2 linked regions of the Caenorhabditis elegans genome follow. The protein of the gene in region 2 interacts with the protein of the main gene of each other region in a pairwise test. Each region holds a gene or a part of one and is shown on either strand. Other genes may lie near its edges. The genes, in order: unc-96 and cpna-1.

What was found.
Region 1: the proteins of cpna-1 (region 2) and unc-96 interact in a two-hybrid assay, tested with the Caenorhabditis elegans proteins (one study listed by BioGRID).

Annotation. Positions count from the first base shown.
Region 1 is NC_003284.9:618,107-622,955, reverse strand, and holds the start of unc-96 (CRE-UNC-96 protein), read left to right. Parts: upstream 1-1,665; 5' UTR 1,666-1,677; coding exon 1,678-1,776; intron 1,777-2,482; coding exon 2,483-2,631; intron 2,632-4,849.
Region 2 is NC_003280.10:4,184,844-4,189,972, reverse strand, and holds the start of cpna-1 (Copine family protein 1), read right to left. Parts: upstream 3,298-5,129; coding exon 3,043-3,297; intron 3,002-3,042; coding exon 2,850-3,001; intron 2,506-2,849; coding exon 1,825-2,505; intron 1,764-1,824; coding exon 1,575-1,763; intron 1,073-1,574; coding exon 1,007-1,072; intron 998-1,006; exon of another isoform or gene 938-997; coding exon of another isoform or gene 611-937; intron 564-610; coding exon of another isoform or gene 361-563; intron 309-360; coding exon of another isoform or gene 190-308; intron 68-189; coding exon of another isoform or gene 1-67. Other genes in the region: mth-2 (GPS domain-containing protein), read left to right, coding at 1-67, 190-308, 361-563, 611-937. UniProt on the Caenorhabditis elegans protein: Involved in the assembly of dense bodies and M lines during body wall muscle development.

The sequences.
Region 1 (4,849 bases), on a different chromosome or scaffold from region 2:
TTTATTTCATCAAACTGGGAACAAAAATCAAGTCAAGATTATAGGGAGCTTTTAAGTGACTACGTAAGAAACCATTTGAAGTGAAAAATGAAGGCGAGTCCAGAATAAATCTGACGGGAGAAAGTGTTGATGCTTTCAAATTATTGATCTTTCGAGGGATCTGGCAAAAATTTAGTTGCGCGCCAGATTAAAATCAAAAATTAAGCTATAGTGGTTTTTTCAAGTATAATGTTGATTTTGTGTTTTTTTTCCTGGTTTCGAAAGCACTTTGGCAATTTTCCAAGAAGTTTGAATGATTAAGAAAAATCTAAAATTGTTGATCAACTTTATCATAAGTATTTCAGTCAACACAGATTTTTTTCCAGAAATTTTGAGAGTTATCTTTGATTCCGGAAATGACGGTCTTTTCCTCACTGCTTTTATATTGCCATTTTTTGTACGAGCCACTGTTGCTTTGATTATCTTTCGATTAATTCTGATTCAGGTTTACTTTTTTGATAATTCAAATTTTCAGAGCTACCTGGCGTTAAATGTCACCCTTTTTCCCTTTTTTCAAGAGAAAATTAGTTTTGTTTGTTTCAAGAAACGTTATTGACAATAAATCTTAGGAGTTATCTTAATCTAAAAACTGGGAAAAAAGTAAAACGAATTCAGTCTACAGAATTGAAGTACAGTAAATGATTTTTTTCATCAGCTAGAACATTTTAGAAGCCCTTTTAGATTTCAGGTTAAGCTATCTCCCAAGCATGTAGCCGCAACTGAGATTCTGCAGTTGTTCTAGAAGATTTTCACATCCCCCATACGGCTATTATTTGTCTGAAATTACCGTTTCAAATTTCAGCGGCCTGATCAAGCCTGATTAGATTCATATAATTGTAAAACAAACTGCAATACTTTAACTTGAAAAAATCAGTAACCCGATGGCAGCACCATTTTTCACAAACTGAAACACGAGGACGCCGGCCCGATTTGTGGGGGGGGGGGGGGGGGGGGGTTTGAGAAAAATCATCGAATCGCAGCTAGTGCTCTTTTGCCGAGGGACAAGGAAGAGAGAAAGAGAGGAGATACGCCCGTTGGCTTTACACAGGTTTTGTGTTGAGATCGTCAAGAAGACGGGAGGTAGTCGGGAGGGGGGGGGCGAGAGTGCAGTGATCAGAGAGGCGCAGTCGTTCCCGGCTCTCTGAGCACGCACACTTTTCTCCTCTATTCACGGGAAGACCTCTCAACATTCACCCCACTCTTTTATCTTTTGTATTCGGATTTTTGTTTTTTTTTGTTGGTGCTTTAATTAATTTATTTTTCGATTTTGTTAACTTTTTTATTTTGCTCTGCTAAGTATGTTTAATTTCTCTAAATCTTCAAAACTTACATGTATATATTTGAAAACATGCATCAAATTCTAATTGAAAAAGCCTCCAACCAACTATTGCGAAATACTTTTGTTTTTTATATTGTGGGCCAAAAACACTGATACCCCTATAAAAACATTACCTGTATCCCGAAAAAAACTTGAAACTCTCGCGCGACATTGACATTCCAATCAAAAAGGCGGTGAGCAAATCCCCTGAGCACCACTCAATTTCTCAAACAGAAAAGTTTCTGTCTCATACATTCTTGCCAACTTTTTCATCTTTTTCTACTCATCCCTGAGCTGTTACTTTCCAGAAGACTTGGATAATGAGTGAAACTGAAGATGTGAATCTCAACCTGGATCCGGAGAAACCCAAAGTTCGATCAGTTGTGAGATCAGACAGCGGATTGGAAAATGAGATTCCTGTAAGAAGAGAAGGGTGGTGTGAAAAACGAGAAATATATATATATATGTATATGCTTTGAAAGTTTTGAGTTTTTTGAGAGTTTAGGCAGCATTTTACATTTTATCGGTTTGCACCCAGTCCGTACATTTTTCGAAAAGCTTTAGCCTATTTTTGAAGATAGTTGAAAATTTTGAAATTGTTTCTCTTCAGTTGGGATTTTTGAATGTCAAATACTTTGATTTAAAGTCTAAGGGAATACAAAAAAGTATGAACTGGAAAATAGTTTTTCAAAAGTCAATACCTCCCTTTCATATGAACTGAGAATCTTTGATCACATTTTACAAGAGCATAATATAGAATGTAGTGTATGTCTAGACAATTTTTCTGTGATGCCGAAAAAAATATAGAGGATTAAAATAGACAAAAAATGTAGACTATGATCACAAAACGCTCATCTTATTAAATATACTCAATGTTTCTTAAAACAAACAAGTAGTTTGGGATCTGGATAGATTAGGATATCAATTGATTAATTCGCAGTACGAGATTTAAAAAAAACTGTTTATGCAGTTTTGTAAAAAAAAAAGACTAATAACGTCAACAAAAATTATATTGGATGCAACTCTCAAAAATTAATTTGAAATTGGTAAATCTTCACGCTTTAGTTTATGACAGAATTAGAAATTCTAGTAATTGCATAAATCCGAATACTCTCCATTTTCCAGAAAATTTCCGGAACCTCATCAGCATTAATAGAAGAGGGGTTATCTCTGCTCAACCTCAAATCTTCTTTGAGCCCAAATGTTGCTCCAGTTGCCGTAGATTTGTTGGATAGAACGTGCCCAAGTCCAGATTACGGGCTGACGTCAGAGAGGTTAGTGAACTTTTTTCTTTCAAGTAGTGAGCTCCCATTATATTTCAAAAGTTTACGATACCGTGTATAAAAGATATTTTGATTGTTTTTTCCTCCACGGGTTTAAGCTTCGGCTGAGGCTTTCACTCATCAATTTGGTTTTATTAATGCATATTTATCTTGAAAAATGGTTTTAGCTACTTTTATCTATTGCTTGAAGTGAATTTCATCTGCGTGTGAATTTTCAACTACTTTTAAATAAATTTTCGCTGAATTATGGTTCTGCAACCTATAATACTATGTTAGCAAATGTAACTCAAAAAGTACCTAACAAGAACAAAAACAAGATTGTAAGAGTTATCAAAAATGACCGAGAGCAAGATTTCTGCCAGATGTGTAACTGAGTGAGATATGTGTACGGCGGAAACAACACATTACACAATGACCCGCAGAGTTTGATTAGATTTGTTAATGTTTTGGTTTTGAACGCGGTGAAAAAGAGATCAACTAGGACTTGTCAAAATCCAAAGTAATCATATTTTAAATGTTTATTTTTTTATCAAAAGAACAAATCGGTGTAATTTGACACCTTTAGCAAGAATTATCACTGAAATCGTGACGAGAGCTAAAAAAACTAGATGCGTCTTCAGGCTACAGTAGCAAATTGTTGACAGTGAAAATTATAAGTATTGTTTTTTGATTCCTAGTTTATTCTTTTTTTTTAAATTTTAACCTTTATAAAAATATTAAAGATTTCCACTTCTCAGTTACCTCAACTGTGATTTTTGCCGTGAAGCAAAGATGATTGAAAAATACCGTTAGAATCTTGTATTTTTGACCAACTTTTCTACGCAGTGGTAACACCATAATGATGATCGTAACTATCGCAATAAAAATGTTCCCACTTCTACCATAATCATTAGTCCTTCTTTTCACATGTTTTTGAACATGTTAGCAGTGTTGACTTTAAATTAATTTTTCTCCGGGCTGTCATGTACCTACTGGATACAGGGAGGATATGTCTGAAAACTTAATTTGGACTATTCCAAGAACACTATAAGTGACTGTAACTGCTAAATACAATTTATTGAACTTCCACAGCTTGATATTACTGATAGTAAAACATTTACTCATGACAATTATATTAGGTGTTCAAGGACTAATTATAGAGCTTGTAAAATTTGAAAAAAATCGGTTGCCAAATTGGGAATTTTTAAAAATTTTCTTGTATGTAGTGTTTCAGTCTGTGACATTTTTTTAGAGAAAATTCTATTATAATTTGTGTATATCAATGGAAAATTTTGGAAGTAGATGTTTATTGGTTTCATTCACAACGGAACAAGATGATTTTTTCTCGTAAATGGCATGACTCGGAATAAACTTTCTAGTGTTAAAAATGATAGAAAAAATCTTAGATTTTTTAGAAAAATGCAATTCTAACCAATTGTTATGAACGCACGTGCATTCATTCGAAAAAAATAACGTGGGAGGCTCCAAAGTCTAAAAGACCGCTGATAAATTTAACTGTAAACTGCTGAAATATACAAAAAAAAAAGTGAAAACAAGCAAATTATTAAGGTAACCTTTCTAATAGTTTTTAAAGAAATCGTTAAGCTCATAGAAATGTATTTCTATAATTGCGCCTCATCATGTATGTATTACTTTTCAATGTTTGATAGAGTCATTAATAATTTGAAAAATATTGTTTTTCCCCAAATGTTTGAAATAATGTACAAAATAATGTTTTCATGTGATGCTTTAAACACATAGTTGGTTTTAAGTAAAAAAACAAGCCTAAGAAAATTAGTTTAAGTTAAACAATCACATGCGAAACTTAAAAAAACTGCTCGTTTCAGAAATTTAAAAATGAAAAACTCAGAAGCAGAACTGTTTTTTTCGCTTCTTATCTGCGCTATTCCAGCATTCACGTGGTGTCAGAGTATCTCATTTTGGTTTGATCTACATAGATCTACAAAAAAATGCGGGAGTTGAGACGCAAGGTTCTCAACTGATTTCGCATGGTAAAGAATGTGCTGACGTCACATTTTTTGGGCGAAAAAATTTTCGCATTTTTGTAGATCAAACCGTGAAAGAACATCCTGACACCACGTGAACATTTAAAAAGCCTTTGTTTTTGCGTGACAATTGTTCTTACGGTTTTCAGTTTAGTGAGATTCGGACGTAGTCTGAACTTATTACTTAATAATTTATTATTTTTGTATCACAGTTTGAGTCTTTT
Region 2 (5,129 bases):
CAAATCAAGATGTCTCAGGTGATATGTGCACAGCGATGGCAGCTGTGATGTACGCTTTGCTTTTGTGGTGAGTAGGCATTGCCCGCTTCGGGCCCTTCTAGCGTCATACCGGTAGTTCTATGTGTCATGGTAGCGTCACGGCTACGCCACAACCATTCTCACAATTCTAATCAATAATATTCTTTTCAGCTCTCTATTTCTCACAATTTTCCAAGCTCTTCGAAATATCCTCGTTTTCCTGCCAACTCCAGCCTACAGGCTGCTTAACATATGTTTTGGAACAGTGCCAGTTCTCATCACGTCAGTAGGTATGATAATTTTTTTGCCCGAAAATTCTAAACAACCCCCTAAATATTACAGCTCTCCCCTTTATTCTTTCAATATTTCTGCTAGTCTTCACAAAATTCTTCGACCGCCAGGACTGCTTCTGCTGGGTACGACCCGACTACATAGTGGCTGCAATTATCATTCCAGTAACTGTACTTTTACTGAGTACGGTAGTATGCACTAGTTTCATGATCTACAAAGTTTTTTGTGGAATGAAAAGGAAATTTAGTCAAGGGGTAAGTTCTTGCAAGGAAATCTAATAAGTCTGAAATAAAATTTCCAGGGTCACCACTACGATCCAAATGTGATCACGAAGATAGTATCCATAGTTGTAATGCAAATCTCACTAGGTCTTCCATGGATCCTTCAATTCGGAACCCTCTACTCCCCATACACCACCTTCTGGCACTACACCTTCACCATAGTCTTAGGGTCTCAGGGAACAATTTTACTGCTCATTTTCCTCTACAAGCGATATCGAGCTTGGCAAGCTGATAGTACGCTCAAGTCTCGAGGACAGAGCTACTCGAAGAACTCGACAAAACGAACGAAGCTGGTCGAAGAGGAGAACAGTTTAGGATCAAGTACAGATACTTTTAATGAATATTGACCTCAGTGTTTTTTGTGTATATAGGAAGTTATTATAAATAAAAAATATTTTTCTGAAAAAGTAACGTACTTGGTAATCGAAGTGACTTGTGGTGCAGGGACGTCAGCTCGTTTTGGAGCAGTTGGTGTCATTGGTCTAAAAATTTGAAAAATTAGCTTGGTAAAATGCATAGTAGGTACTTATTTGAGCGTGCCTGCCTGCCTGCTCACCTACCAGCTTACCTAGGCCTTCATACCAACCTTCAGCTCATTCTCGCTCAGTGTAGTTTTAACACAATTTTATCAATTTTATTAACCACGAAATGTAAAAAAAGAATCTAAATCTAATTTGGAACTAGGCGCATGTGTAGGCACTTGGTAGGCGTAGGTAGCCTTCAATGCAGGTAGGCAAATCAGAGCAGGCCTAGCATGCCTAACAGGTCGTATAAATATCTCGGAAAAGTTCCCAACATTGTTGCAAACTTGAACAATACTCTTATAGGCAGGCACGCCTTCAAGGCTACCTACCTACCTGCCTGCCTACCTAACTACGAAACTGTGTTTTAGGCATTCACTTTTTTTTGAAAAATTTCCAAATGCTTTGCTCATTTTTTGAACTTTCACTAAAATTTGAACCATAAAAATAGCCTAAAACTTACTGAATCTGTGCTGCTCCACTATGGCTCTCGTAGGAGATGTGAGAAGCTGGTGCAAAGTGATCATAGGCTTTTTGAGACGAATCCAAGTCTGTCGAATCACCTCCAACTTCATGATCCAAAAGCTTCTTCAGACGGTCAGCTTCGAGAAGGGCCTTCTCCTTTTCCCAGTCCTGAAGGGCTCGCTCGTCTCTGGAAATTGAATTTGCTCTTTGTAAATTGAAAACCCAAACTAAGATTAAAAAAAACTCACTGCTCACTGAGCCGCTTCTCCCTTCCCAGCTTCTTTGTTACTGGTTGGAATGCTCCTGAAGCTTGTTGCTCAGCGATCAGAGCTCCAGCCCCGGGAGACAGCTGAGAAATGTCCACGAACTGCTGCTGGTTGTAACGGGCTTGAGATGCTGGGGACAGTTGGGAGAAATCAAAGTATGGTTGCTGTGGATGTGTCTGGATTTGCAGTGGTGATGGTTGCTGGATTGGCTGGAAGACTCCCTGCTGTTGCAGTTGCTGATGAGCTAACTGAGCATGTTGAAGCTGTTGAAGTTGAGCTGGGGTCTTCTGTCCAAGCTGTCCAAGTTGCTCGGAGATCTGATTCATCCGCTGATGAGCTGGAGCATCGTAGATATCAAACTCGTGAAGCAGCTGCTGGTCAGTCGGAGATATCGGAACCGGTTGAACGATTTTGTGTTGGGGTACCGGAGGTGGTTGGTGTTGCTGAGCATAATATTGCTCGGCAGCTGTTTTGAGATGAGGTGGAACATGCTCAAAGTCGTGCCCGAATGCGGATTCTTCCGGTGCAATAGATGGAATTTGCTCGAATTGGGTGGAATCGCGGGATGTTGGAGACAGGTCCATGTTCTTTGTCTCGTGGAGGTGATTGTTGACGGAAGAGAGCACGGTGTCGAACTTCTCTCTGGTGGCGTCGATGGGGTGGCTGAAAATCTGAGATTTTTGACATGCCTATGTGATACCTATTTCGGGCTTTCCACACTTCTGCGTTGCAGCTATGCCTACTCCATACCTGCCTGCCTACGTGCCATTTTCATGCATGCCTCCCTATGTGCAACGTGCCTATACCTGACCCAGGTGTCTCTGCCTACGTGCATTTCTAATGAATATACGTGCCTATCATATTCCTGCTTGCCAACATGTCTAACTACGTGCCTACGCTTGACTTATGTTTGCCTGCCTAGTTCATGCCTACCTAACTACTTCAGGCCTGCCTATTCCATACCTGCTCCCTAATGCCGAAAATGTGATTCTTGTTCTCACACTTACCCTAAATTCAAATCCACCTCCAAGCTCGGGAACTTATTTGCAGCCTGCTCAGCGAACTGATGGACGTTATTTTGAACTGAGTGAGCTTGTTCTTTCAGATATTGGTCGGCTTCACGCATCAGCTCTTCAGCGCTTTCTGGGATGTGTTGCTGCTGAAATTCCTTTTTTTTCAAGATCTATTCTCAACACCTACCACTTGTTCTTTCACATCATGAAGCTTGTCACCGGCCTTGGCCAGGACGCTTTCTACCGAAGTTTGTGGCTCTTCCTTCTCGCCTGACTCCTTCTTATTCTTGTCATCGAGAAGTTTGAAGAAGTAGTAGACGAAGGCTATGGCGGCAAACGTGAGCATGTAGCGGGTGAAGCCGGAGAACACGAGAAAATGCTCCGGCTCCGGGCATTCCTCCCACTCGTCCGGGTCGTACCCGAGACGCGCGTCGAATACCATACCGACTCGCCTGGAAATGGAGAAATTGAGCTAATGGATAAAGGTGATCAAAAATTAAAACAATACAAATTTTTGATAGTTTAGAAGCAGCTGATGGAAGTTAGATGATCAAATAGATAAAAAAGAAACTGGAGAATTTCAGAAATTTGGAAATTTTTGAAGACTTTTTAAAAATCTTAAAAGAGTACCAAAATCTGAAATGTTACTTTTTTAGACACAAAAACCCAAAACTTCCGAATTTTGTTATGAGAAGTTCTGAAACTTTCTCAAAAAAATGGTATAAAGATTCAAAATTTTGGAAAAAGCTTTTTTCAATAGGCTAGTACGCTTTTTTGTGGCCTGCCTGCCTACTTGCCTGCCTATGCCTCTTTTCTGGACATGAGCTCTAGATCAATTTGTGTCTGCCCTAAAAATAATCAGTGAAAAAATAGCGAAATTTTTGAAAATCAACTTGTTCCAATTTTTCCAATTTTAAAGCTTCCTACTTGGAGCCAATTAATACAAAAATTATGAATATTCAAACAATTTTTCAACAAAATTCCAAAAAAAAGACGAAGATCTTTTGATCATTCAAAACCTTCAAAATTTGTGCTCTTTTCTTCAGCACAAAGAACTCTTTTTGTCATTTTTTTCTGCATTTTATACTTGAAAAGCCTTGCTCAAGTTACCAGCTTCCGTCCCCTTCTACAATGTAATGCAGTTGAGGGACGGGACGGGGGACACGGAAAAAATGGCTCTCAAGTCGCGACGATGAGGCAGAAAGCTGGCGGCTCTGCGATGGCAAAACTTGTGAAGAAGAGAAGAGGCAAAACAACAGTGAAAAGCCATGAACTCTTTTGCTGTCAACCAACTCTCTGTGATTTGGGTGGAGTGGTAGTAGTTGAAAGGGATACACAAAATGAGGAAGATATTAAATGGAAAATATTGAGGGAAGAAAAAAACAACATTTGTTGAGCGCCAAAAACATGCGGAACGGCGGTGTTCCAGTAGTTGAAAAAAATAGAATATTTGCAAAAATTGTAGAAAACTTTTGGGAGTTTCCCTTGGCAGGAAAATTGGGAAAATGTTTCAGACGAAAGTCCTGAAATCTTACAAATCCCAAAAATCATTGTTATCCTAACCTAAAAGCTACCGTTCGCAATGAGAACATTGTGCCAAATTTTGATGGCAATTACGTGGGTTGTCCCATTTCGGTTTGATCTACGTAGATCTACAAAAAATGCGGGAGTTGAGACGCAGAGATCTCAACTGAGTTCGCAAGGTTCAGAACTTGCTGACGTCACATTTTTGAGCATAAAATTCCCGCATTTTTTGTAGATCAAAGCGTAATGGGAAAACCTGAAACCACATGGGCAAGGTGTATTCACAGCCCTTTTAAGAACATAGCAAAACTAATGTTGGTTTGTACTAAAAAATATTTTCTGGGACGGTTTTTTTTAATTTTTCAAATAGTTCAGAAAACTTTCTAACAGAAAAAGTTCATCATATTAAAGTTGAAATTTCAAAACAAAAAACTATTTTTCAAAAATACTTTCACATCTAGCCGAATTGATATGGGAAATGAAAATATTTCAATTTGAAAAAAATACGTGCACTATTTTAAATATAGCTAAAAATATAGTTTATAAAAATGAAAATTTTTCTCTAACAAAAGTTATTAAAAAGTTACGAAATTCGAGAGAAAGTTTTTAAAAATCTTGAGCAAAAAAATGTTGCTTTCAGAATTTTGTATACCTTCCTAGAGATCTGGACAAAACCTAGGAAAAAAAGTAAATTTTCACCGTTTCAGAAAATATCTGAAGTTATGCTTTAAACTCTTCAAACTGGAAAAA